Linked DNA regions of Canis lupus familiaris. The protein of the gene in region 2 interacts with the protein of the main gene of each other region in a biochemical or structural test. Links are inferred from orthologs where the notes say so. Each region holds a gene or a part of one and is shown on either strand. Other genes may lie near its edges.

Evidence for each region.
Region 1: the proteins of FGFR1 (region 2) and FGF4 form a complex in vitro, tested with the Homo sapiens proteins (2 studies listed by BioGRID and IntAct, with this or other methods). The link is inferred for Canis lupus familiaris from reciprocal best matches to the Homo sapiens genes FGFR1 and FGF4.
Region 3: the proteins of FGFR1 (region 2) and ANOS1 form a complex in vitro, tested with the Homo sapiens proteins (3 studies listed by BioGRID and IntAct, with this or other methods). The link is inferred for Canis lupus familiaris from reciprocal best matches to the Homo sapiens genes FGFR1 and ANOS1.
Region 4: the proteins of FGFR1 (region 2) and NCAM1 form a complex in vitro, tested with the Homo sapiens proteins (2 studies listed by BioGRID and IntAct). The link is inferred for Canis lupus familiaris from reciprocal best matches to the Homo sapiens genes FGFR1 and NCAM1.

Annotation. Positions count from the first base shown.
Region 1 is NC_049239.1:48,866,730-48,872,941, forward strand, and holds the start of FGF4 (fibroblast growth factor 4), read left to right. Parts: upstream 1-2,713; coding exon 2,714-3,053; intron 3,054-3,585; coding exon 3,586-3,689; intron 3,690-4,223; coding exon 4,224-4,400; 3' UTR 4,401-6,212. UniProt on the Homo sapiens protein: Plays an important role in the regulation of embryonic development, cell proliferation, and cell differentiation. Required for normal limb and cardiac valve development during embryogenesis.
Region 2 is NC_049237.1:27,807,578-27,813,355, reverse strand, and holds part of FGFR1 (fibroblast growth factor receptor 1), read right to left. Parts: intron 5,034-5,778; coding exon 4,889-5,033; intron 2,946-4,888; coding exon 2,743-2,945; intron 1,707-2,742; coding exon 1,561-1,706; intron 1,370-1,560; coding exon 1,248-1,369; intron 798-1,247; coding exon 687-797; intron 166-686; coding exon 1-165. UniProt on the Homo sapiens protein: Tyrosine-protein kinase that acts as a cell-surface receptor for fibroblast growth factors and plays an essential role in the regulation of embryonic development, cell proliferation, differentiation and migration.
Region 3 is NC_049260.1:5,430,157-5,435,934, reverse strand, and holds part of ANOS1 (anosmin-1), read left to right. Parts: intron 1-1,500; coding exon 1,501-1,723; intron 1,724-5,778. UniProt on the Homo sapiens protein: Has a dual branch-promoting and guidance activity, which may play an important role in the patterning of mitral and tufted cell collaterals to the olfactory cortex. Chemoattractant for fetal olfactory epithelial cells.
Region 4 is NC_049226.1:19,967,967-19,973,744, reverse strand, and holds part of NCAM1 (neural cell adhesion molecule 1 isoform 1 precursor), read left to right. Parts: intron 1-2,636; coding exon 2,637-2,787; intron 2,788-3,144; coding exon 3,145-3,329; intron 3,330-3,685; coding exon 3,686-3,782; intron 3,783-4,101; coding exon 4,102-4,272; intron 4,273-5,778.

The DNA.
Region 1 (6,212 bases), on a different chromosome or scaffold from region 2:
CAGGTGTCACCTGTTTCTTGGGGTGTTTTGGTTTGGTGTAGACACGTCTATACCAATGGCCTCACCTTTCTCCTTGACATTTGCAGAGGCTCTACGGTGAGGGCCATGCAGAGAGAGGGAAGCAGGCAGAGAAAGCAGCGATGGGGGGTGGCTTGCAAAGTCCCCCCACGCCCAGAGCCCTGCCTGGGCTGTGCTGCTGTTCACCCCAGCACGGGGACTGAATTACATACAGCCCTCCTCTAGCAGTAGTAGTAGTAGTAGTAGTAGTAGTAGTAGTAGTAGTAGTAAGCCAAGTGAGTTCTAAGAGCTGAGCTGGTAGTTCTGAGAAGCCCAGTCACTCCTGGAAGAAGAAGAGATCCGTGTGAAGACATGACCGTGTTGGGTTTGTAGGTCAGAGGTCACAGTTAGGAGGGCTCCCGTCCCTGGCAATGATGCAAGCCGGAGCCCCCCACAGGATAAGGACATGTGAGTTCTGACCCATTACTGTGAGCCAGGCCCTGTCCGAACCTCCATGGGACTTGCCCCCAAAGGACCCACTGTCCTGACCTCAGCCCCAGGAATAGCTGCGGTGGTGCCCATTTTACAGATGGAGACCCTGAGCACAATCAGAAGTGAAACAGCCAGCGTTCCAGGGCCAACAGGGAGAGCTGGATTCAAACTCAAAGCAGGAGGCTGAGAGCCCAGAACCTCCACAGGGCCCCACACGCTTCCTTGGATCCCAGATTCTTGGTAAATGGGGGCCCGTGGGGTGTGAGCAGGGCCTGGTTCAAGTCCTCAAGGAGGCTGGATCTGCAAACATTAGTCACCTTGGTGCATCTGTTGCTTCAAATTAAAGAGAAAAAAAGCCAGTGTGGAGCTTCCATGGGGGGACCTGGCACTCCAACCCTTCCATCTCCCTGGCACCCCGACACTGCTATCTCCTCAGCATCCAGGCGCAGCAAGGGCTTGGGTGCTGCCACTTGAACGGGAGTGTCTGTGGGTAGAGGGGGCTCCGAGCTGCCCCGAGCCAGGCTGCCATTCATGCGAACACCTCCTGAACACCTACTGTGGGACTTTCTCAGTCCCCTACACCTGTGCCCCCCCCAGAATGATCCAGATCTGAAGTCTCATCTGGAGGGTCCAGGGGCCCCAAAGCAGCCTGAGCCAACAGCCCAGGAAGGCCCCTGCCTGGGTGGGCGCTGCTCCAGCAGGCGGCACGCACAGAGAGGAGCAACAAGCCTCGTGGGAGAGGCTGGAGACCTGGTTCTGGTCCTGCCAAGCCTCCCTGCCCCCGGGGTTTCAGGACAGAAACATCAAATCTCCCAGGTCACCTCCAGCGGGGTGAGTGAGCTCTGGCAGAGTTCAGAGGTTTGATCCAAGGGGTCCTCCTGCAGGAATGGGGTAGGAGGTGAGAGAGGACGAAATGGAAATGGCCTGGGGGTGTCTCTGGTCACAAGCGCTGGTGGCAGCAGGGGTTGGGGTGGGCTCCAAGCCCCCCCAAAGCTATAGCTGGGCAGGACCTGCTGGGAGATGGCAGCAAGGCTCCTCAGGTACCACAGAAAACAGGGATTTTCACACCTAGGTGAGCCAGCACCTAGCTGGGCCTCTGGGGAGTCCGGCCCTCATCAGGCCATAATGCACACAGTGGGGAGTGGTGACAGCAGATGTCTAGAGTGTGGTGCTCCAGAGGCTTGGCCTGGGTCCCCACCGGATGGGGGGCCTCCAGCTACAGCACTTGACTATTCCTCCTGTGAATCAGAGGGGAGGGAGCCGTGAATGTCCTGTATGGCCCTGAGCCCTGCCACCTGTCCTTGCATGGAGGAGGCAGCATGTAGAAGGTGCAAGGCTGTGGCCTCTCCTGGGTGCACCCCCACCGCCTCAACCGCCTTGCATTCCCTTAGCAGCGTCCACTGGAAGCACCTTGCTGGGGGATGCCTCTACCTGGCTCGCAGAACTCCATCTCTGCATCCGCCCCAGTGCAGGGGACACGTACCTGCCCCCAGCCTCCGACCTTTCGCGTTACTGGTTACCCTAACCTACCCCCCAAACCGAGGCGGGTCTGCATGGTGCCAGCAAAGGAACCAGGTTCCGGAGAGTCCCCGAGAGTCCGGGCGCCAGGGGTGGCTGCTGGGCCCTGAGGGTGCCCGCTTCGCGCAGCACTCAAGCGGCTCAGGCAGAGGCGAGAAGGAGACCGCAGGGACAAAGTGCGGAAGGCAAAACTTCGGCTGGAAGGCAGGGGCGCAGGAGACGCGAGGGGCGGGACCAACAGGTCGGCGAGCCCGCGGAGCCCGGGGTGGGGGCCGGGGACCCTCCAGGTGGCACTAGCGGCGCTCGTCCCGGCCGCCTCCCCTCCCCCAGCCCTGATTGGCAGGCGGCCTGCGACCGGCCGCGAGCGCCACAGCGCCCCGGGCGCCCAGGCGAGCGCGAACGGCCCCCCGCGGGAGTAGGAGGGGGCGCCCGGCTATATATAGCGGCTCGGCAGCGGCCGGCCCAGCGCGCAGGGAGGCGCGCACCGCTCCGCAGGGTCCCAGCCCGGCCGCGCGTCCCGCCCGCCGCCCGCCGCCCGCCGCTCCATGCAGCCCGGGTAGCCCCGGCGCCCGGGGGCCCCGCGCCTCGCCTCCCGCTCCGCCTGCGGCCGCGCGCTCCGCACCGAGTCCCGGCCGTGCGCTCCCGCGGGCCGCCACAGGCGCAGCTCGGCCCCGCGGCTTCCCGGGCGCACGGCCCGAGGGCGGGGATGGCGGGGCCCGGGGCGGCCGCGGCGGCGCTGCTCCCGGCGGTCCTGCTGGCGGTGCTGGCGCCCTGGGCCGGCCGCGGGGGCGCCGCCGCCCCCACCGCCCCCAACGGCACGCTGGGCGCCGAGCTGGAGCGCCGCTGGGAGAGCCTGGTGGTGCGCTCGCTGGCGCGCCTGCCGGTGGCCGCGCAGCCCAAGGAGGCGGCCGTCCAGAGCGGCGCCGGCGACTACCTCCTGGGCATCAAGCGGCTGCGGCGGCTCTACTGCAACGTGGGCATCGGCTTCCACCTCCAGGTGCTCCCCGACGGCCGCATCGGCGGCGTGCACGCGGACACGAGCGACAGTGAGTGGGGCGCGCCGGCGCGAAGGGTGGGGGCCCCGGGCACAGCCGCCCCTTCCGACCCGCACGCGGAGGCCCCGGCTGGCACCTGCCGGCGGCCGTGGGAACCGGGACGGACTCCGGTTCCGGTCCCCCCCGCAGGGACAGAGGCATCCGCGGCCCCGGAGTCCGGCGGCGACTGTCTCTGCGCACCGGGGCGAACGGGCCCCGCCTCCCCGCCTTCGGAAGCCCCGGCTCTGGGTGCCGAATTCCAGCGCCTGCGCCCGCGGGGCCCGAGAAGCGCGTCCGGGTCGGCCCGGCTCGGGGACCCTGGGGGCCACCCGGCTCCTGCTGCCCGGGACTGGGCGCGGCCGCCGCGGGGCCGGGTCGGGAGGCCAGCCAGTGCGCACCCGCGCACGCCGGGCTCCGGGGCCCCTCTACATCCACCCCCGCCCCCAGAAACGGGGTCCCGGTGGCCCGCGGCCCGAGGGGGTTCCGGAACGGCTGGGGCGGGCCAGGGTCCCCTGCCCGGGAGTGACCCGCGCCCCGCCCCCAGGCCTGCTGGAGCTCTCGCCGGTGGAGCGGGGCGTGGTGAGCATCTTCGGCGTGGCCAGCCGGTTCTTCGTGGCCATGAGCAGCAAGGGCAAGCTGTACGGCTCGGTGAGTACCGCGAGGGCCAGCAGAGCACCCGGCAGCGCGGGAGGATCCGGAGTCTTCCAGGCCGGCCTGTGTATGCCTGGAGCCCGGATCGTGGGACTGGTGGGTCACAGGACTGGCACCTCCCCCCCAAACACAAGTACTCTGCGGCCGTGCGGGTGACCCAGGCCGTCCAAACAAGGGGCAGAGACCCAAGACAGGAACAATGAGGTCTCTGCCATCCCCGCGTGGCACTTCCTAGTCCATTAAGAGGTGCCAATACCAGGCCTTCTCTGTAGCCTCTCTCCGGTGGGTTCCATCAGGCAGGACTGCAGTCTCTGGTAGGAGATTCTCTGGCCGCCAGGTGCTGAGCAGGTGGCTGGAGCACCAACTGCTGTGGGCTGGTCACCTTGGTCTTCTCACCCTATGGGGGTCTTGGCACCTCAACTTCTCTCAGCCAGATCAGGGCTTGGCCAGAAAGGAGCCCCTGACAAGTGACCCTCAGGGTTCCTTGGCCAGGAGGTGGCCCCACCTGACTCTGTCCCTTCTCCCTCCCAGCCCTTCTTCACCGAGGAGTGCAAGTTCAAAGAGATCCTGCTCCCCAACAACTACAATGCCTACGAGTGCTACAGGTACCCGGGCATGTTCATTGCCCTGAGCAAGAACGGGAAGACCAAGAAAGGGAGCCGAGTGTCCCCCACCATGAAGGTCACCCACTTCCTCCCCAGGCTGTGACTCCAGGCATCCTGCCTCAGTTTCCCAATGCTCAGGAGACTTTCTCCAGATGGACAATTTAATGCCAGAGTAGGTGTAAGATATTTAAATTAATTATTTAAATGTGTATATATCGCCACCAAATTATTTATGGTTCTGTGGGTGTGTTTTGTATTTTTCTGGAGAAAAAAAAAAAGAAAAGAAAAAAAAAAAAACCCAAACCTGAGTTTTCTAGTAAGACCGGTGAAGACCTTTCCACTGGATTTATTTAACTTGTCAAAAAGTTGTCACAAGTGTGCTGCTACTCTGTGTTTTTAAAAACGGTGACGTCAGACTCCAGTCTCAACCCTGCTTTGCACGGTCCCTTGTACTGTGGTGCTGAGCATCTCTGTGTCTGGAGAGGCCTTCCTGGGGCCATGGAGCCAGCTAAGGACCCTCCCAGCCCTGGCTCTGCTCCTAGCATCCTCCGGCGCCCCACTCCTTTGTGCCCTGTTGCTATTCATCGGGACATATCGCCTTACTTCGGGTACAGAAAATGCACTGTGGGAGTGCACCACTGTCACTCTGTTTTTAGATCTGCCAAGACTGACCTTTGAACTTTTCTGTAGTCAATCTTCCTCCATCTCCCCGATGGGGGAGACTCTTAGACAACTTTATAAACTCCTGTTTTCCTTTTTTGGCTCAGCCACAGCCCATGTTTCTCTGTGGCCACTGAGGAAGAGGCAAAAACAAAGCAATTTTGTGAATCCGACGGAAAGGAACCCATCTCCCGCTGAAAAGCTGGAAGTGGATAGATGGGTATATTTGCAACCACAACCAAAGCCCGAGTGATAAAATACAATTTGTGGTAGCTGGTACTTCTGATAAGTCATAGAATATAGATTTTGTTTGTTTGTTTTAATGTGCTTCCCTGTGCCTGGGAAGATTTGAGCTAGAACTAGCTGTTCTTTTTAGATGGAATGTCCTTGTCATTGTACAAAAACACTTAATGCAGTGTTTGCATGGAGGAAGGTGCCGCTTCTCTCCATTGCATTACCTGATGAAGTGGACTTAACATCTACCTCGAAACCCTTAACCCACTCATCTGGTGAAATCTGCAGAAAGCTCAGACCCGGCGCAGGCGTTCCCTATCCCAAGTGGCTCTTTTTCCATATGTAGCCAAAGAGGATTGCAGATAGCGTCGGTGCGTCCCATTGAAACCTTGTCACGTTTGAGCTATCTTTACCCCGTGATTTACTTTTAGTAAGGATAATCATGGTGAAAATATTTGCAGACAGCTGTTAGAGTGCACTATATGGTCACCAAGTAACCTTATATTTTTCTTTATATATTTTACAAATGTAACCCCTGTCGCTGCAGCAAAGATGGAAGAGGCAGGGTCGGTGATGTTTAAAAAAAGTCCTGAGGTGATGGCAAACATTTAATTTTAATGAATGACTTTTTAGAGTTTATACAAAATGACCTTAGCTCGCTACCAGAAATGCTCCGAATGTTTTGTCAAGACTTTAATGCTCTCCTAGGATGTTTCTGAACCACCTCCCAAATTAACTTTATGGGAGTCTACAGACAGCAAGACTGGAAAAGGCTGATTGGAGTTTGTGTCTTTCACATTCCTTTTTAAAACTCTTTGTTCGAATGCAAATCATCTACTTAAAATACTGTCCTTAAACCAAGGCCTTGGAGGAGGAAGGAAGCCGCTCGTGAAGCCTGATGGCTGGACTGTACATCTCAACCGGCCGTCCCCGTCCGTGCGGTGAAATAAAAAATGTTTTCAATTTTAAATTGCGTCCTAGGCTCCAGGAGTCTTGAGCAGAGGGGATGCTCCCAGGTCTC
Region 2 (5,778 bases):
CTCGGGCCACCTGATAGGCGCAGGATACCAGGTCCTTGGAGGAGAGCTGCTCCTCTGGGTTGTGGCTGGGATTGTAACAGTACTCCAGCCCAGGAGGCCTCCGGGCCTGCAGGTACTCCCGTAAGTTGCCTTTGGAAGCATACTCCACGATGACATACAAGGGACCTGGGAGTGTGAGGAAAGAAGGGCCATCAGGGCGGGTGGGCAGGTGCCCCGGGCCAGCCTTACCCTGAGGAAGTCCCACCCCCAACCATACACCACGTGTTTGTTCCCCAATCCTAACCACCTTTAGGGAGCCTGGGTAGTTCATCCCCAGAAAGCCAAGGAAATGATTCTTCCCAGAATACTCCAGGAAATTCCCAAGAAAAGCTCGGGGGGGAGAGGGGGGGCGGGCAGGAGGAAGAACCCTAATTTAGATCACACGTGGTTCTCCCCCCCTACATTGTATGAATCTATGTACTTGTATTCTCCGATGGGCGTCCATGGGCATCAGCTCAGACGCTAACTACTGCTAAACTGGCCTCTCCTCTTACCTTCCTTCTTCCTTCCCTAAGCGTAGCTGAGATGCCTGGTCACTGCTTATCACACTGCCCCGGCAGGCACTGCTATCTGAGTGGGAGGCCCAGGTTCTCAGCTGAGACTGTAGGCCAGCCCGGGTGGGAGAGCAGGCCTTGCTTGGTGCCTACCGTCCTGCGTGCACGCCCCCAGCAGGTTGATGATGTTCTTGTGCTTTCCGATCATCTTCATCATCTCCATTTCTGAGATCAGGTCTGACAGGTCTTTCTCTGTAGCATCCGCTTTACACACAAACCAGAACACAAGACTCATTTACTTGGAAGGGAGGCCAAGGAGGGAAGCAAAGGGGGAGGGGATGGCATGTATGCTGGAGAAGGCCCTGTTCTCCCGGACTTGCTTCTCTCCTCCCCATTTCACACCCAAATCGACAGTCCCTTCCCCCTTATGTGAGCTACTGGCAATAGGTGCTCATGTGCAGGGTGGAGGACAGGATGAGAAAAAGCAGCTAACGATGGGATCTGGAATAAACACCTGACTGCACCACAGCCCAGATTGATGCCAAGGGACAAAGTGAGATGGGTAAGAATGCCCTTCCCAGGCAAGGCTAAGCCAGCCATGTAGCGGGTGTGGACAGTGCCAGGGCACCGGAGAGAATGTTCTACATGGCCCAAGGCCCAGAGTTTGCTTGGGAAAGGAAGGGATCGTTTTTGCAAGGGAGAAACATCACTTACACTTCAACATCTTCACGGCCACTTTGGTCACACGGTTGGGTTTGTCCTTGTCCAGCCCAATGGCTTCTGCCAATACCACCTGCCCAAAGCAGCCCTCTCCCAGGGGTTTGCCTAAAACCAGCCTTTTGGGGAAAAAAAAGGTGGTGTGAGTTGGGGCTGATACAGTTTCAACCTTAAGAGGACATCCCATCTCCACCCCTCCATATTCTATCCAATTGAGAGCAGAAAGCATCAATTGTTATTTCTGAATGCATCTGGTAACACCTTCGGGGGGTGGGAGGACAGACTTCCTCAGAGGCTGACAAAGTATCACCTGTCTCGAGGCAGTTCCCAGCGAGGGTCTTCGGGAAGCTCATATTCAGAGACCCCAGCCAGCATGGGTGTTCCACTTGAGGAGAGACGTGAGGGCCGAACCAGCAGAACCCCAGAGTTCATGGATGCACTAGAATCGGCCGACACCTGCAGGGAAGTGTGGGGTCACCCTTCTAACGAGGATGGGGTTGGGGGTTGAGCAGCAGCAGAGTCCTGCCATTCCTAGTCAGGGCTTTCCACCAATGGCAGAGGTATGCATCTGTTATCTGATGTTCTCTCTCCAGTACAGAGTGGCAGGAAGACCACAAGAAGTCTGAAGACCTAAGTTCTAAAGCTGACTTATTTTTGCCATCAGCTAGCTTTTCACTTACCTTTAACACAAGCAGACCAAATCTTGCTCTTCCAGACCGACATATAACCTATCATCGCAATCACAACTCTATCCTTGTTTCCATTCTTTGTGAAAACTCTGCCTCAGATTATGGATCCCCCCACCCCCTTTTATTTAAGATTGTATTTATTTGGGAGAGCGAGCAAATGAGAGCACCAGCAGGGGGGCAGAGGGAGAAGCAGTACTCCTCGCTGAGCAGGGAGCCTGACATGGGGCTTGATCCCAGGACTCTGGGATCATGACCTGAAGTGAAGGCAGAGGTTTAACTTACTGAACCACCCAGGCGCCCTGGATTATGGATTCCTAACTCCCAAAGCACCCTCCAGAATTAGCACAGCTCTGAATGAATGTCCCCTCCTTTCACACGCCTTCACCCTCTGTTCCATTTCCTTGGATGAGAGGAGGGTGGCATCCTGAAGAGGGAGAGGCCTCCTGGCACCTGACTCAGGTCCTCTTCTCCATCTTTGTACCTCTAACTGGCCCTCGAGGACTGTTCAAAAGTACAGGATGAGTTGCACATCAGGCCTGTCTAGGGCCTTCTCCTGATCCATGTGCCAGGTGAATAGGGGGCCTGCAGTTGGGGTACGATGGGCAGACTGAATTCATGGGCAAGCATAGCTTGGAACCCACCTTGGGAGCACTTAGGACATTCCACCGCCCCTGGCCCAGAAGCTAGAAAGCCAAGCTGGTTGGGCACAGAGGAGAGGACAGGGCATTCAATGGTCCTGGAGGAGCCCTGGGGGCCCAGGGAGAGAAGGTGGTGCAGAGTGTGCAGACCCCCTATCTACTTTCTGTTACCTGTCTGCGCAGAGGGATGCTCTTGGCCAGCTTGTGCACAGCCATTTGGCTGTGGAAGTCGCTCTTTTTGGTGCCACTCTTCATCTTGTAGATGATGACAGAGCCCACCATGCAGGAGATGAGGAAGGCCCCTGTGCAGTAGATGATGATCTCCAGGTATAGGGGCGAGGTCATCGCTGCTGGCCTCTCTTCCAGGGCTGAGTCAGTGTGGACAGGGTGTTAGCAGGCTCTGGGGGCCCAGCTTTATAAGAAAAACCACCCCCATCTCCTGTCCTCTGAGAATTTTCAGGGCAGACAGGAACCAAGTTAGGTCCCAGCTGGGACCGAGCTCTGGCACCAAACCTTTGAGTCTTCCTGATCCTGACTCAAATCCACCAAGAGGAATGGACTAGAACTATACCACTACCTGGGGTCCATGCTCACTCATTCAGGAGCCCACCTTGCTCAGGCGGAGGGCTCCTTACTCAGGAGCCCTCCCAGCTGGCCTACTGGGATCCATGGGTATCAGGTACCCATCAGGGCTTGCTCAGTCTCCTCATGGAAACCTGGGCCTTCTCCACAGAGTCCCAGCACTGAGTGTATTCACCTATCACATGGGACAGATGACCCACTTATGAGTCCTTGGTCCTTGACAGCCCGTGAGCACCCCTGAGGGCCAGACTGGCACCGTGCTCATTTCCACATGCTGCAGCGCCTGGCATATTGTGACACATAACGAAGACAAGGAGGAGAGGGAGGGAACCCAGTCTGCATCCTGATGATATCTCACTTCCTGCCTATGCCATGTGGGTCGGGTCAGACATGTAAATATTTGCACCTAGCTACGCCACAGGCAAAACTAACTTCATTTCCAATCATGTCTGGACTGCTTGAGATGAGAACATAAAGCTCCGTTGCACTTGAGAATTCTACTCAGGCCCTTACTCCTAAAACTGATTAAGGAAATTGGGGGAGGAGGCATTGTCTTATCCTTGTCCTCCACCTTCCATTTGGAATCTAGCCTGGTTCCACAGAAGCCCATCCAACTCAATCTACCCATCCCTTGCTCATGAGAAGCTGGGAGGCTTCCCAAAGGCTCCATCCCCACCAGTGTGAATGCCCCTCTTCCTTGCATGGCTTTCTCCCAAAGACACCAGCCAGCCAGCCAGCCAGCCAGCCAGGGGACCACACCCCACCCCCCTGCCGAGAGAGGTGCAAGGTGTGGCCCAAGATGGAACCCAACGCAGTCCCCAGCCTGACAAGGAGACAGCAGAGCTAATAACAAGAGGAAGTGTTTCTGTTTTTCTCTCTCTCTGGTGGGGACACATGAAGACAACCACGTGGGAGCACACACAGGACAAAGACAGTGACAGGGTAAAAACAGAACGCTTCTCTGCCTCAAGCAGGGTTGTTCTCAGATCCCGTGGGTCAGGCAGGGCAGAGGAAGAGAGAGGAAGAGGTCAGTGTATCAGCAGCAATAGGAGGAGCACAGCGCCCAGACCCATTGCAGGACGCTCACAAGCAATGATGAACAACCCACCACCTCAGCAGGCTGCAGGCTCCTTCCTTCCTGACCCAACTCATAGACCTTCACTCTTAGGAGCCAGAGATGATAAATGGGCACCACTGAGTCCCATGTGGCCTCCCAAGCCAGGCCTTACTTGAATAAGACTCCAGCTCACTCTTCTGGGTGAATCTCTCTTCTGAGATCAGAGGATGGGCTAGCACTGTTCCTTACAAGCAAAAAGTGCCCTCTCTACAGAACATGTCCAGCCTCTCAAGATCTCTGGGACCCACAAAAAAGGATCAGACAAGTTAGGGAAGGCTGCTGGACCCAAGGAGGGAAGGAGCCTGCCCTGCAGGAGAGCCCGGCTGCAGGTTAACCCCAGATTCCATGCATGCATCGCATGGGCTAAGGGGGAGATCCAGATGCAGGTACATAGGGGATAGGCCTCCGTGCTCCTGCAGAATGAGGACAGCTCCCGCGAGAGCTGAGAGGATTCGACACTCAAGCTCAGACAAATTGCCAGGGCCACCCACAGGCCCCTGGAGCCCATTGCTCTACCTGTCCTGGCTCTGTGTTTCCCCCGGCCCCACGATGCATGCTCCCCCCGTGCCCATGGCGAGGGCAGGACATCGAGAGGAGAAGTGCAGTGTATACCTTCCAAAACGGTCAACCATGCAGAGTGATGGGAGAGTCCGATAGAGTTACCCGCCAAGCACGTATACTCCCCCGCGTCCTCAAAGGAGACATTCCTTAAGTGAAGCACTTCCATCTCTTTGTCGGTGGTATTAACTCCGGCAGTCTAGAAGAGACAACGGAAGCAAAATGGACAAGCACGGGACGTGAGACCTCTAAAAGACACGGAGGGACGGAGGGAGGAAGAGAAGGGGGAGAAACCGGAGGAAGAAATGCTCCCCAGCGTCTCCTTTGCAACAAGGAACACACAAAAACCACCAGGCAGTGAGACCTGTTAGAGGAAAGACAGTGAGACCCTGAGGGGGGGCTCTGCAGACCTGAGACGCTGCTGGCTGGTTACGACCCTTCACCAGATGCTGGCAGCCCCGGGCCCGTCCAAGCATGCGGGCGGGCGGCGGGCAGCATGGAGAAATGGGGCCCGGCGGCGGGGGGCTGTTTGGTTTCAGGTAGACGAAGTCAGAGGGCACACACAGAAGGGGTGGAAGGGTGTTGTGGACACGCGTACACGCACAAACATGCACACATGTGTGCACACGGCCTGCTGGGTTTGCCAGGGGACTCTTGGCCCCTTCTCCTCTCCTGCCATTCAAACCTCGGCCTGCAGTGTCACAGTGTCATTCAGCACGCAGCCAGATGGTCCCCACGAGTACACACACAGCCAAGGGGCACACACAAGGGAGGCACAGAGGGAGCAGACACCAACAAGGTACCAAACCAAAGCAGCCTCCCAGGCCGGGTATTTTTCCATGGCTCTGGGCTCTAGAAAATACAGCAGAGTAACAGGGAGAGGTGGGTGCTGGCTTCCCCATCTGCCCCAGCAGCGTGGGGCTTGAATCGAACTCCCAGCACAG
Region 3 (5,778 bases), on a different chromosome or scaffold from region 2:
CGAGGCACCGCTGCAGAGGGGACAACGGGCGGCTGGGAATCTGCCAGGCTGGACAGGTGTGCTGCAGGTGAAAGCGGGTGTAGGGGGCTCGGTTGGGATGTGGGTAGCAATCTTGGCAACCAGCTGTCCAGGCCAAAGGAGGGGTAGGCTGAAAGTTAGGATGATAGTGAGGGCCCTGGCAGCCGTCCTCCGCCAGGCGAAGGGACGCCGCAGCGTGAGGCCATTTCCCTCTGTCCCTGGGGGTGGGGCTGCTTTTAGGATCCTCAGCAGCTCCCTACTTGTGCGGCAGAAAGAAGCCCATATCCTCCGATTGCTTCTTATGTTCTAGTGGCAACCAAATGCTGTCCTGAACCTGTGTTCCCAAGGAGAAAGATGCATTTGATAGCTAGTTCTTTCCGTTACTCACACTCTTTCCATAATGCGACTCTAAATAAATCCAGGAATACCTGTTCTCACTAGTTGCAAAGCTCAGTGACCACAGAGCTCAGCGACCAATCAGTTTGATTGATTCTGGGTTCAACTGAAATATCATCAGCTAGAGGCTATTCAGAACCTGGCTGTGTCACAGGTAACGACGATTCATCTTTTTCACTGCGTAGTTTATTGATAATTCCGTATTGATAGGTGGTTGCATCTGCACATTAGCTCTAGAAACCGGATATTCTTAAAATATGTTCAGTTAAGGGAGGCTAAGATTACTTTTTGATAAGATATCAGCAAATATTACTGCTGTGAGGATTGCAAAGTTCCCGGAGGCCTACAGCTAAGGCCTTGTGATTAGCATTTAACACGTAAACAGAATGACTCATTAAAGAATTAAAATCTGTGTATGTCTACAGTAGTCCAAAGGGGGCCCTCAAATCGTAGAGACGCTTCATGAATATTTCTAATCAATTATTTGACAACTACATTTAACTCAGAATGTCATACTTTGTTGAACGTGTGTATGTATAACTGAGGAGATCTGTTGCTTGCAGGATAATGTTATAACTCATGGGTCAGATTCCTTTTAGAAATTAGCATAAAATATTAGTTCTTTAGGAGGAAAAGAAAGCAAATACATTTATTTCGTAAGACATTCCAGGGCGGGCACCTGGGTGGCTCAGTTGGTTGCGTGTCTGCCTTCGGCTCAGGTGATGATCCCAGCATCCTGGGACTGAGCCCCATACCCAGCTCCTAGCTAAGTGGGGAGTCTGCTCTCTCTGTCTGCCTCTCCTCTCGCTCATGCTCTCTCTCGCTGTCTCTCTCAATTAAAAAGAATTACATTCTGGGGAAATTTTGACCAAATAAGAATTTTTACCTTCCTTTCCAGTGTCTTGGAAATCAAGCATCATGTATCTTTAATAAGTTTTCTTTCCAGGGAGCAGTCTGGGTCAGTCGGTAGAGCATGAGACTCCTGATCTCAGGGTTGTAAGTTCGAGCCCCACGTTGAGCGTGGAGATCACTTAAAGAAACCAAAATCCTTAAAAAATAAGTGAAATTTTCCTCTTCTCTCTTTAGCCTCTCTTCCCCAAGAAGAACTATGAATGCCTGACAAGCTGTGAGTTCCTCAAGTACATCCTGTTGGTGAAGCAGGGCGACTGCCCAGCCCCGGAGAAAGCCAGTGGGTTTGCCGCCGCCTGTGTGGAAAGTTGTGAAGCTGACAACGAGTGCTCTGGGGTTAAGAAGTGTTGTTCGAACGGGTGTGGACACACCTGTCAGGTGCCCAAGACGCTATACAAAGGTAAGGAGGAGAGCTGATGTGACGGGAACCTCACAGAGTCACTGGTGTGTGTGTGTGTGTGTGTGTGTGTGTGTGTGTGTGAGTGTGTAAGGATGTCAATCAAAGAAAGAGAAGAAAAAGGGTCAGAAAACACACTGTGACACACGGAAACTTCTGAAAATATTACTGGACCATACAGATCAGCCACGATGCACTCATTCTGGGGCGGGGCAAGTCCTTCTTATTAGAGCGAACGTTTAGGAAGGTCATCACTTCACGAACTTCCTCGTACTTTTCCGCACGGGGAGTAAGTCAAGTAAGCTGCGCCGTGGACATGGGAGCAAATTGAATTTAAATCCTTGGAAAATAGGCTGGGCGTGGGGCACCCTTGAAAAACGCATAACAAACGCATGGGTTTTGTGGTTTTCCTGTTGGCAGAATCCAAGAACAGAAGTGTCATTGTACGGACTTGAAATATTTTGATTAGCGTCTTGAGAACCCAGATGGAGGAATAGCTTTCTTCCAAAGACGGGGATGCAGTTTACCAAACAGTTTAGCAGATGTAATAGTTTACATTCATGTACAGACACTTTCTAGAGCCCTAAACTCCTTGATGCTAAGGGCTACTTCCCTCTTCTGGGAATTGTGACTCGGTTCTTTGAAAGCAAACCCATTCTGTTGTGTTACGTACAGGTTTGGGTACCATCAGAGTATCCCGGGAGACAAGATTTTGCTGGTTCTTTGGGTCTTCTATGAAGAGTGAGATAGAATCAATCACTAGGCACTATTCATTACAAGTAGAGAGAGTCATCTCTCCCTCCCTCCGTCTCTCTTTCCCTGACACCAAGTATATATTCTTCCCAAATATAGGTCAGTTATTTTTAAACCGTATAAAAGAGTATTGCCAGCAGTGCCAGTGTTGAGTGATGTGCTGTTTTCAGAAGTCTGTTCTTACTATCACAACGGCTCTAGTCTCCCAGAACTCACGTCCCTGCCCATTTCCTCTGGCGCTCACTTGGAATTACTGTCTCTCGAATCTGTACAGTCCTCCCAGTTTTCCTTGTATTTGCATAGGGTCTTGGGAAACCTGGCATAAATATTACGACTCAAATTCAAAATAATTGCCCCTTCCCCGTCTTATCAGGTGACATGTCTTAATGGATTTAAAGTTTTACTGTTTTCATGCCTCTCATAAACTACATAAAATCACTTTTGCAAAACAACAGCATTTAATTTTTCTAAAGTCTACTATTAAGAAGCCTTTTCTGTTATTCTAGATCACTTACTATTTAAGTATTCACATTTACCATAAAAATAAGATGCTTTTAGAATGACTGTTGAAAACCCATTTGTAAAAACCCTTAGTGTTTTAAAAGGAGGGTGTTTTAAAGAGGCCATATAAATTAAAACATGCTTTTTATTTAAAAGCATTGAAGAGTCCGTATGAATTTCAAATATGTCTGGTTCACCAACACTAAGGGAAATATTCTACAAAGGGCCAGCGTAAATGATTAATTATTAAAAGAGACTCACGTTTTAAACCTATGCTTAACTAAATATGATGAATTTTTTTAAAAGTGCTGAAGTCCCTCTTCTATAAAGTAGCTCTTAACTTGGGTTTTTTGCAGAGACAGGTGATTCTTGGAGAGCTAACCAGGAATAGAATAAACAGACTCTTGACCTGACGGTGACTTTTGCCTAGTGAGCCTAGGACAATATTACTGTTATTTTGAAAATATATATAAGTCCATGTAGGTATTTCCCCCTTGCTCTGTTGAGCAGTCCCTGAAGGAAGGCTGGCTTCCACATTGCTGGGGGGGTGGGGGGGGTTCTGACATGCCACCAGGTAAGAACATGTGAGCCACAAGGGCTCCCCACAGCCTGCTGTGATGCTTTCTGTGACTGTCTTCGCTGATTAGGCACCTGGACTGTCTAATCACATCCCTGACCAGGACTCACACTGCTTGCTCACTCTCAGGAGAGGACAGTGGTGCTGAGTTGTACCTAGCACTTGGCTTTGCAAGGACAAACACACGCAGCCAGACAGTCTGCATGCAAATCACCTTTGCCAGTCTGTAGAGTACCTGCCATCAGGGTCCTGCTCGCCTGGGCTTTGTCTTCTTACTGACCTGAACCAAGTGGGGGAGATCACCTTGCCCTCCTCTTTTCTGCTCGTGCTAGGTCTTTGCCATCTTTTCCCTCAGGGAGCAGCACCCCGTCATGGGTTGGGATGGGCTGGTCCTACTCCCAGTCCACAAGTGCTGGAGTTGAGGCTATAAGCCGTTGCTCAGGTGATTTTTGGTAGCTGGTAGTAGAAATACATGTGACCTTAGCTCCCAGCTGGGCCAGCTCAACTATTATTTTCATTTTGTTTGTTTGTTTTTTTAAGATTTTATTTATTTATTCATGAGAGACAGAGCGAGAGGCAGAGACATAGGCAGAGGGAGTAGCAGGCTCCGTCCGAGGAGCCCAATGTGGGACTTGATCTTGGATCCTGGGATCATGCCCTGAGCTGAAGGCAGATGCCCAACCGCTGAGCCACCCAGGCATCCCTATTTTCATTTTGAGTCTATCCAACTATCATAATGGACCACAAATTATTGTATTAATATAGTAGAGATCAATCAAAAGATGGATCAATATCAAATATTTTAATGTGATAAAATCACTTATTTGTCATCGGGTAGAGGGGATAGCATCAGTCTGATAGCAGCCCCTATCTGGTCCAGTAGTGCCCTATCAGGGTAGTCATGCACATAATGCTCATTTGTGCATAAATAATTATCTCAGCTTCTGTAGTAAATTGATAGGTGTCAACTTCCATCCTGTTTTTTCCTTTATTGTGTATGAGGTTAAGCATTTATATAAATATATGTATACCTGAGCTGATTTGATTTGCAACTGCTGATTCTCATCATTGAGTTTTCTATTATTATATTTTCTGAATTTTTTAAATCACTAAGTTTCATATATGTATATATTTTAAAGATTTTATTTATTTAGTAATTAATGAGAGATACACAAAGAGAGGCAAAAACATAGGTAGAGGGAGAAGCAGGCTCCCTGTGGGGAATCCAGTGCGGTACTTGATCCTGGAACCCTGGGATCATGACCTGAGCCAAAGGCAGATGCTGAACCACTGAGCTATCCAGGTGCCCCAGTTAAACATTTATGTATTTATTTTTCTTTCTTTCTTTCTTTCTTTCTTTCTTTCTTTCTTTCTTTCTTTCTTTCTTTCTTTCTTTCTTTCTTTCTTTTCTTTCTTTCTTTCTTCATGAGAGACACAGAGAGAGGCAGAGACACAGGCAGAGGGAGAAGCAGGCTCCCCACAGTGAGCCTATTGCAGTACTTGATCCTAGGACTCTGTGATGACTTGAGCTGGAGGCATGTGCTCAACCACTGGCACCCAGGTGCCCCTAAACATTTTTAAAATACAGAAACATAAGTGTTCTGTTTAGCCTCCTTTGTTTGTGGTAGGGAAGATGGTGGACATACTTGATGTTATGGCTTCTAAAGCTTTAGATGCTGCAAAATTGAGGGTTTTTTTAAAAAGATATATTTATTTGTTTGAGAGAGAGAGAGAGAGTGAGTTGGGACAAGGGGCAGAGGGAGATGGAGAGAGAGAGTCCTAAGGAGACTCCATGCTGAGTGTAGAGCCTGACGGAGCTGATCTTACCACCTTGAGATCATGACCTGAGCTGAAGTCAAGAGTCAGATGCCTAACTGTGCCACTCAGTTGCCTCAAACTTGAGCACTTAAAAATAATGCATATTTTGAAAAGATGTTCAACGGAATGCATTATATTTGAGCATTTAATTTGGTCTATGCTGTTAAGAATTATCCTTAGCTGATGCCTCTGGAGTTTAAAACAAAGGAAAACAACAATTTTTTTTCACTTTGCCCTTCAAATACAATTGTTAAGGGCATCCTGGAAGGCTTGCAAATGTTAATGTGGGTAAATGCTACCCAAGGTGCCAGTTTCCTGTAATGCAAAACTTAGTGTAGTTGAGGAAAGTTTAAAAGTCTGATTCTCCACAGGTAAAAAAAAAAGGATTAAGTATCCAGGCACTCGTTTT
Region 4 (5,778 bases), on a different chromosome or scaffold from region 2:
AGACCGTAAGTTCAGTTAAGCTCCAAAGAAGGCGTGGGCTATGGCCAGTTTCATTCTGTAAGCTCTGAAAATGAGCCCTTATACCTGGTAGAAGGAAAGCAAAAATGTTTTGATGAGAACAATAATTGTAATTGCCCTTGGTGCTGTTTTTGCAAAACAGGGTCTTCTTGTCCTAGCTGTCTTTCCATTCTTGCCCAGACAACATCTGTTTCCTCTGCAAGCCTGGACTCTCAGCATGACCCCAGGTCTGGATGGCTTATAGGTGGCACTCCGACTTTGTCCTGGTGCCAAAGTAAAACATTTCAGAGGGAGACAGTCTAATTGCACTGGAGTCTATGTGCCTCCCCTTGGAGAGAGAACTGAGCATCTGAGAAATTCCCATCATCAATCCTGTTATGAGCCACTGCAAAATAAGAATATTCTCTGTAGAGGACTGTCTCCTGGTCTGTTGACACAATTAAATGAGAAAATTTCTGGGCAGCCCGGGTGGCTCAGCAGTTTAGCGCTGCCTTCATGCCCAGCACGTGATCCTGGGGACCCGGGATCGAGTCCTATATCGGGCTCCCTGCGTGGAGCCTGCTTCTCCCTCTGCCTTTGTCTCTTCCTCTCTCTCTCTCTCTGTGTCTGTCATGGATAAATAAATTTAAAAAAAGAAAAGAAAAGAACATTTCCCACATAGAGAAATTTAGACCACATAGAAGGGGAGAAAAGTATGGCTGTCAGTGAAACCACTTCCCAAGCTTCTCTTCAACCATTTTCTAGAATATTCTGAGTAAAGACTGCTCATGCCCTGCTTTGTTGTTGTTACTGTCCTACTCTTACCTACATGACTCTCTTTGCAACTTTTGCTGCAGTATTACTTCCATGGTGGAAATGTTCTCTTGATTTCTTAAAGCTCTGGTCAGTTTTCCATGTTTGTGGGTGTTGAGCCCAGGACAAGCTCCGTCTGTTTGACAGTCATAGTTCGGCTGCTGGCTGTCACTATTGGCTGAACCTGTGTTCTCATTGAGATAACCAGAAGGGCAGGGGGTGGACCTCGAACCTTTCTGCCTTTGTCCTATGTTTGGGGCAGACAGGAGTGACAAACAGATCAAGTCAGCCCTTCAGAGATACTTGCAAGGATGCTCTCGATGCCACTAGTTTAGACTGATGGGTTAATTTTTGTATGACTCATGGAAGTTGCCACTGGTAGATACTGGGACAACCCTGTTAGCCCACAAGAAAAGGGGGTCCCAGGATCCAGGGACCCTTGTTGTCATCTCTCACTAATGTATGACATCTCCTGAACCAGTCAGCCTTACAGACTTACAGTCAGGTGGATGTTGAGAGCCATGGGCATCTGGGCACTACTCTGAGAGCAGGGTGGCCTTTGCAGAGTTAGGCAGTAATGATTTTGCTCAGCTCTCTGCCTCCTTGCCAGCTGTAGTGTTCCAGCTTCCAGATATGAACCTCGATGGGGCTTAAATGCCTGAGATGGATTAGTTCCATTAGTGATGGTCAGAGGGACTTCTTGGTACAGATCTGCAGAGACTGCCCCATAAGGCCCGTAGGCCTTTGCTTTTGAGCTGCCCAGACTGTGTGCAACTTTGCAATTCTGAGTTTCAGACTTCCAAACCAGCATTGTCAGAAGAGCCTGAAACAGGTGTTCTTCCATTCTTTAAAGACTCAACCCCATGGGACGACAGATGCCATATGCAGAGCACTCACCTGCCGATCTCCACAGAATATCATATGATGGAGATAAGAGTGTGGCCCAGCCTATGAGGAGCAAGACTCCTTCTTCAGATTACCAGCTTTCTTGAGGATCTGAACTTGGGCAGCACGCCCAGACTTTTCCTAGGCCAGCAACCATTATACATTTTAGATGGTCAAAGCAGGAGCCCCTTGGAAATATTCCAGTTCCCTTTGCCTAGGGATCATATGCTTATTGCCCTTTTGACCAATCACTATAATTCCAGAGACTCAGGAAGCCAATTATCATATCAAGGGCTAGAATATGGTGGTGACTGCCTGGGACTCTGTACCACTCTCCCCGGAGAGGGACCCAGTTACACTCACTTCCAGCTCAACAGCCTCTCATCATTGAGTTGTTGGACTTTCTCTTGAATGAAATTGTTTTCTTTTTAAGCATTCAGGAAAGTGAGGCATCTGCAGAAATATAGGTTTCTTGTATAATTTCTTGCATTTGGCACATTCGGATTTCCCATTACGTGCACATGCACCATGGAACTAGCAGATGGGCAGACTCCTCGAAGGAAAGCATAGGATACAGGTTTCCCAGAGTCTCATGAAGCAAAAGCTGTTGCTGCTGGAATCTCTGCTGGCCGGGGCTTTTGCTTCCACTTTAGACATGCCAAACAAAGTCATCTTGGGGGACCTTGGTTGTCCTTGCCCCAAACCAATCTTGGCACAGAAGCTAGACTGCTTAACATAAACTGAGTCCCATTTTCTATTTGGGTTACACTCAGGTTCCTGTGGTGCTCTCCAGAGCCTCCCACGCTAGTCGGTGCCTTAAGTGAGAGACGCGGGCACAGATTGGGGAAGAGGATGTGAGACTGGCCGCAGACAAGAGATGGCCCAGTCTCCTACCCTCAACCCTGCCTCGGGCACTGACGCTTCCCCTTCCCTCCTGGCAGACTCTGGACGGGCACATAGTGGTGCGTAGCCATGCCCGCGTGTCATCCCTGACCCTGAAGAGCATCCAGTACACAGACGCCGGAGAATATATTTGCACCGCCAGCAACACCATCGGCCAGGACTCCCAGTCCATGTATCTGGAAGTGCAATGTGAGCAGTAACTGTGGAAAAATGTGGGGTGGGGGGGACCCTGCAGGGTCAGGATGAAAAGGGAAATGAGCAGCCAGGACCTGAGCTGCACGCTACTGCTCTGCTCATGCTCCCTGTGGCGGTTGCCCTAGGCCGGTCCAGAGCTTTGTCCCCAAGTTGTCCCAGGCTCCTTACAAGCTGATGAGCCCTCCTATCTTCCCACGTGGCTCACAGGACTGCTGAGCCAGCCTGCCCTTTACTCTGCCCCGGCACTGGCTCTGCTTTGGGGCACACCTGCCCACCCGGGGTTAGGAAGCGGGGTATGCGGGGCTCCTCTCTGGTGCTGGCCTTCCTGATGGGCATTGCTGTCCCTCGCAGATGCCCCCAAGCTGCAGGGCCCCGTGGCTGTGTACACTTGGGAGGGGAACCAGGTGAACATCACATGCGAGGTGTTTGCCTACCCCAGTGCCACAATCTCGTGGTTTCGAGATGGTCAGCTGCTGCCAAGCTCCAACTACAGCAATATCAAGATCTACAACACCCCCTCCGCCAGCTATTTGGAGGTGAGTTGGGGCTGGAGCAGGGGAGGGTGGAGAAGACACAGGCTGCCTATGGATATGCAGCTAAAACTTCCTCTCTTGCTTCTCTGGCACATCTTGACTAGAGGAGCCAGCAGCTATGGAAGAAACGGAGCCTCAGCCCGGCCCCTTCTCTCTCCCAGGGCCAGGTCATGGCCTGGGGGACCAGACATGCCTCTCTCACTGGCCCCTTGGCAATTCTCTCTGGCTTACAGCTGGGCTGGAGCTAATGGTTCATGCTTTCCTGTTTCTGTTCTTTACAAATTAATCCAATAAATAAAGATCTCTGTTGGTGGCCATTCCATGGGACACTTAAAACCCAGAGTTCCTTCTCTCCAAAGGTGACCCCAGACTCTGAAAATGATTTTGGAAACTACAACTGTACTGCAGTGAACCGCATTGGACAGGAGTCTTTGGAATTCATCCTTGTCCAAGCAGGTAAACACCCTCTATGGCCACACTATCCTTACCCTTGCTGGCCTGTCCCATGCCCTCTGATGACCCCAGGAGAGTAGAAAGAAGAGGGCCAAGGTAACCAAAGACAGGGTCAGGAAGCAGGGAGCCCGTAGAGGCTCAAGGTTGTGAGCACAGTGGTTGTTGGGAATAATCCTATGGTGAGCTGGGCTGGGGGACAGGATATAGGCGACAGGATTCCCATGAATGAGCAGAAATGAGAGACATGCTTCGTGACTGAGAGTTCTGTCCTGGACCTAACCGGGCTCACCTGGGTTTCCATCTGTGCACCCCCCCCCCACAGACACCCCGTCTTCACCATCCATCGACCAGGTGGAGCCGTACTCTAGCACAGCACAGGTGCAGTTTGATGAACCAGAGGCCACAGGTGGGGTGCCCATCCTCAAATACAAGGCTGAGTGGAGAGCACTGGGCGAGGAAGTGTGGCATTTCAAGTGGTATGATGCCAAAGAAGGTACGTGGGGAAGAGTCGGCATTTCCTTTAGAATGATGGGTTGCTCGGGGTTGGGAAGACACTCACCCTGAGTCCCGGCACCCTGAGCACCTGCTGGGGTGGCGTGGCACACCGTGCTCACCTGCTGAGGATGCCACATGCCAACACTGCCATCCGTTCTTGTTCCTGTGCTGCAGAAGCATCCCTGTGCCTCTAGAATTAGGGCACGGTCACATCTCCTCTAGATTTGCTGGCCTTCTATCCCCTGATACCTCAGAACCTGCTTCTCAGGACCGTACTAAGAGGGATGAGGCCATCTCAGCCACGTTCCAAGCAGGAGTCATGCTCAGGTGTGGCGCACAACCAGAGAAGCCCAGTCCACCCCTGCCCTGCACCTGTGGGCTCCCCGGGCAGCAGGTTCTCTGCCATCACCCATCCGGTCCTGCTTGGTGTACTCGGAGACTGTCATGTAACTGTGGTTTTAACCAAATAACAAATTGCCAGAGAGAAAAGTCTGCTCTTAAATCTGCCTGAGATATTATTTCCAAACTAAAAGTGTAAACAATGACCCTTGGATGCCTGCAGTCGGAAGATTCAGAGCCCAGACCATTTTGCCCTGAGGTTTGAGTTTATAAATGTACCTGACTCTCCATTTGGGGTTTAATCAGGATACGTCAGTGAAGTATGCTTTGTTCCTATAGAAAGTTTTAATCCCAGTCCTGTATGTGGTAACAGGGGCAACCACCTTCTGACCCGGTTTTACTGAGAATTTGTTTCACCAGGAAGCTTCCATCACTCCTTCAGCTTTTGGTGTTGGGGGAGCAGCCTGGGAGGAATTTCTGTGCCATCAGGACTGGAGCCAGGAGAAAATAATCTCTTTACCTCCCTAACTTCCCTCTGAAACCTCACACCAACTTTACGGCGAGTTGGTCCCGTGTTAACAATCTGTCCAGCTGGCTTTTTTTTTTTTTTTTTTTTCCTTTTTGCCATTGCTACAGCTGGATTTCCTCCCCTTTTGTATATTTTTGTAGTTCAAGTATAATTAACTTTCTGGCTCTATTTTTGTTGTAGCAAAATACGTAGACTATGAAATTTACCATTTTAGGCATTTTTAAGTATACAGTCGAACAGCGTTAAGTACATTCACATTATTGGGCGCAACCATCACCACCATCCATCTTCAGACCTTTCTCGTAATCCTAAACTCAGCGCCCGGTAAACACTAACTCTCCATCCCATCTCCCGCCCTCCCCAGCAACCACCCTTCTACCACCTGTCTCTGTGTAGTTGACGATTCCGAGTACCTCCTATGAAGGAATCATGTAGTAGTTGTCCTTTTTTGTGTCTGACTTATTTCACTTACCTGATGTCCTCGGGCTCACTGCATTGTAGCACGTGTCAGAGCTTCATTCCTGGGCAAGGCCGACCGATACTACTGTATCCACAGCACCTTCGGTGTATCACTCACCTGCTGATGGACACGTGGGTTGTTTGGCTATTGTGAGCAGTGCTACAGTGAACGTGGGT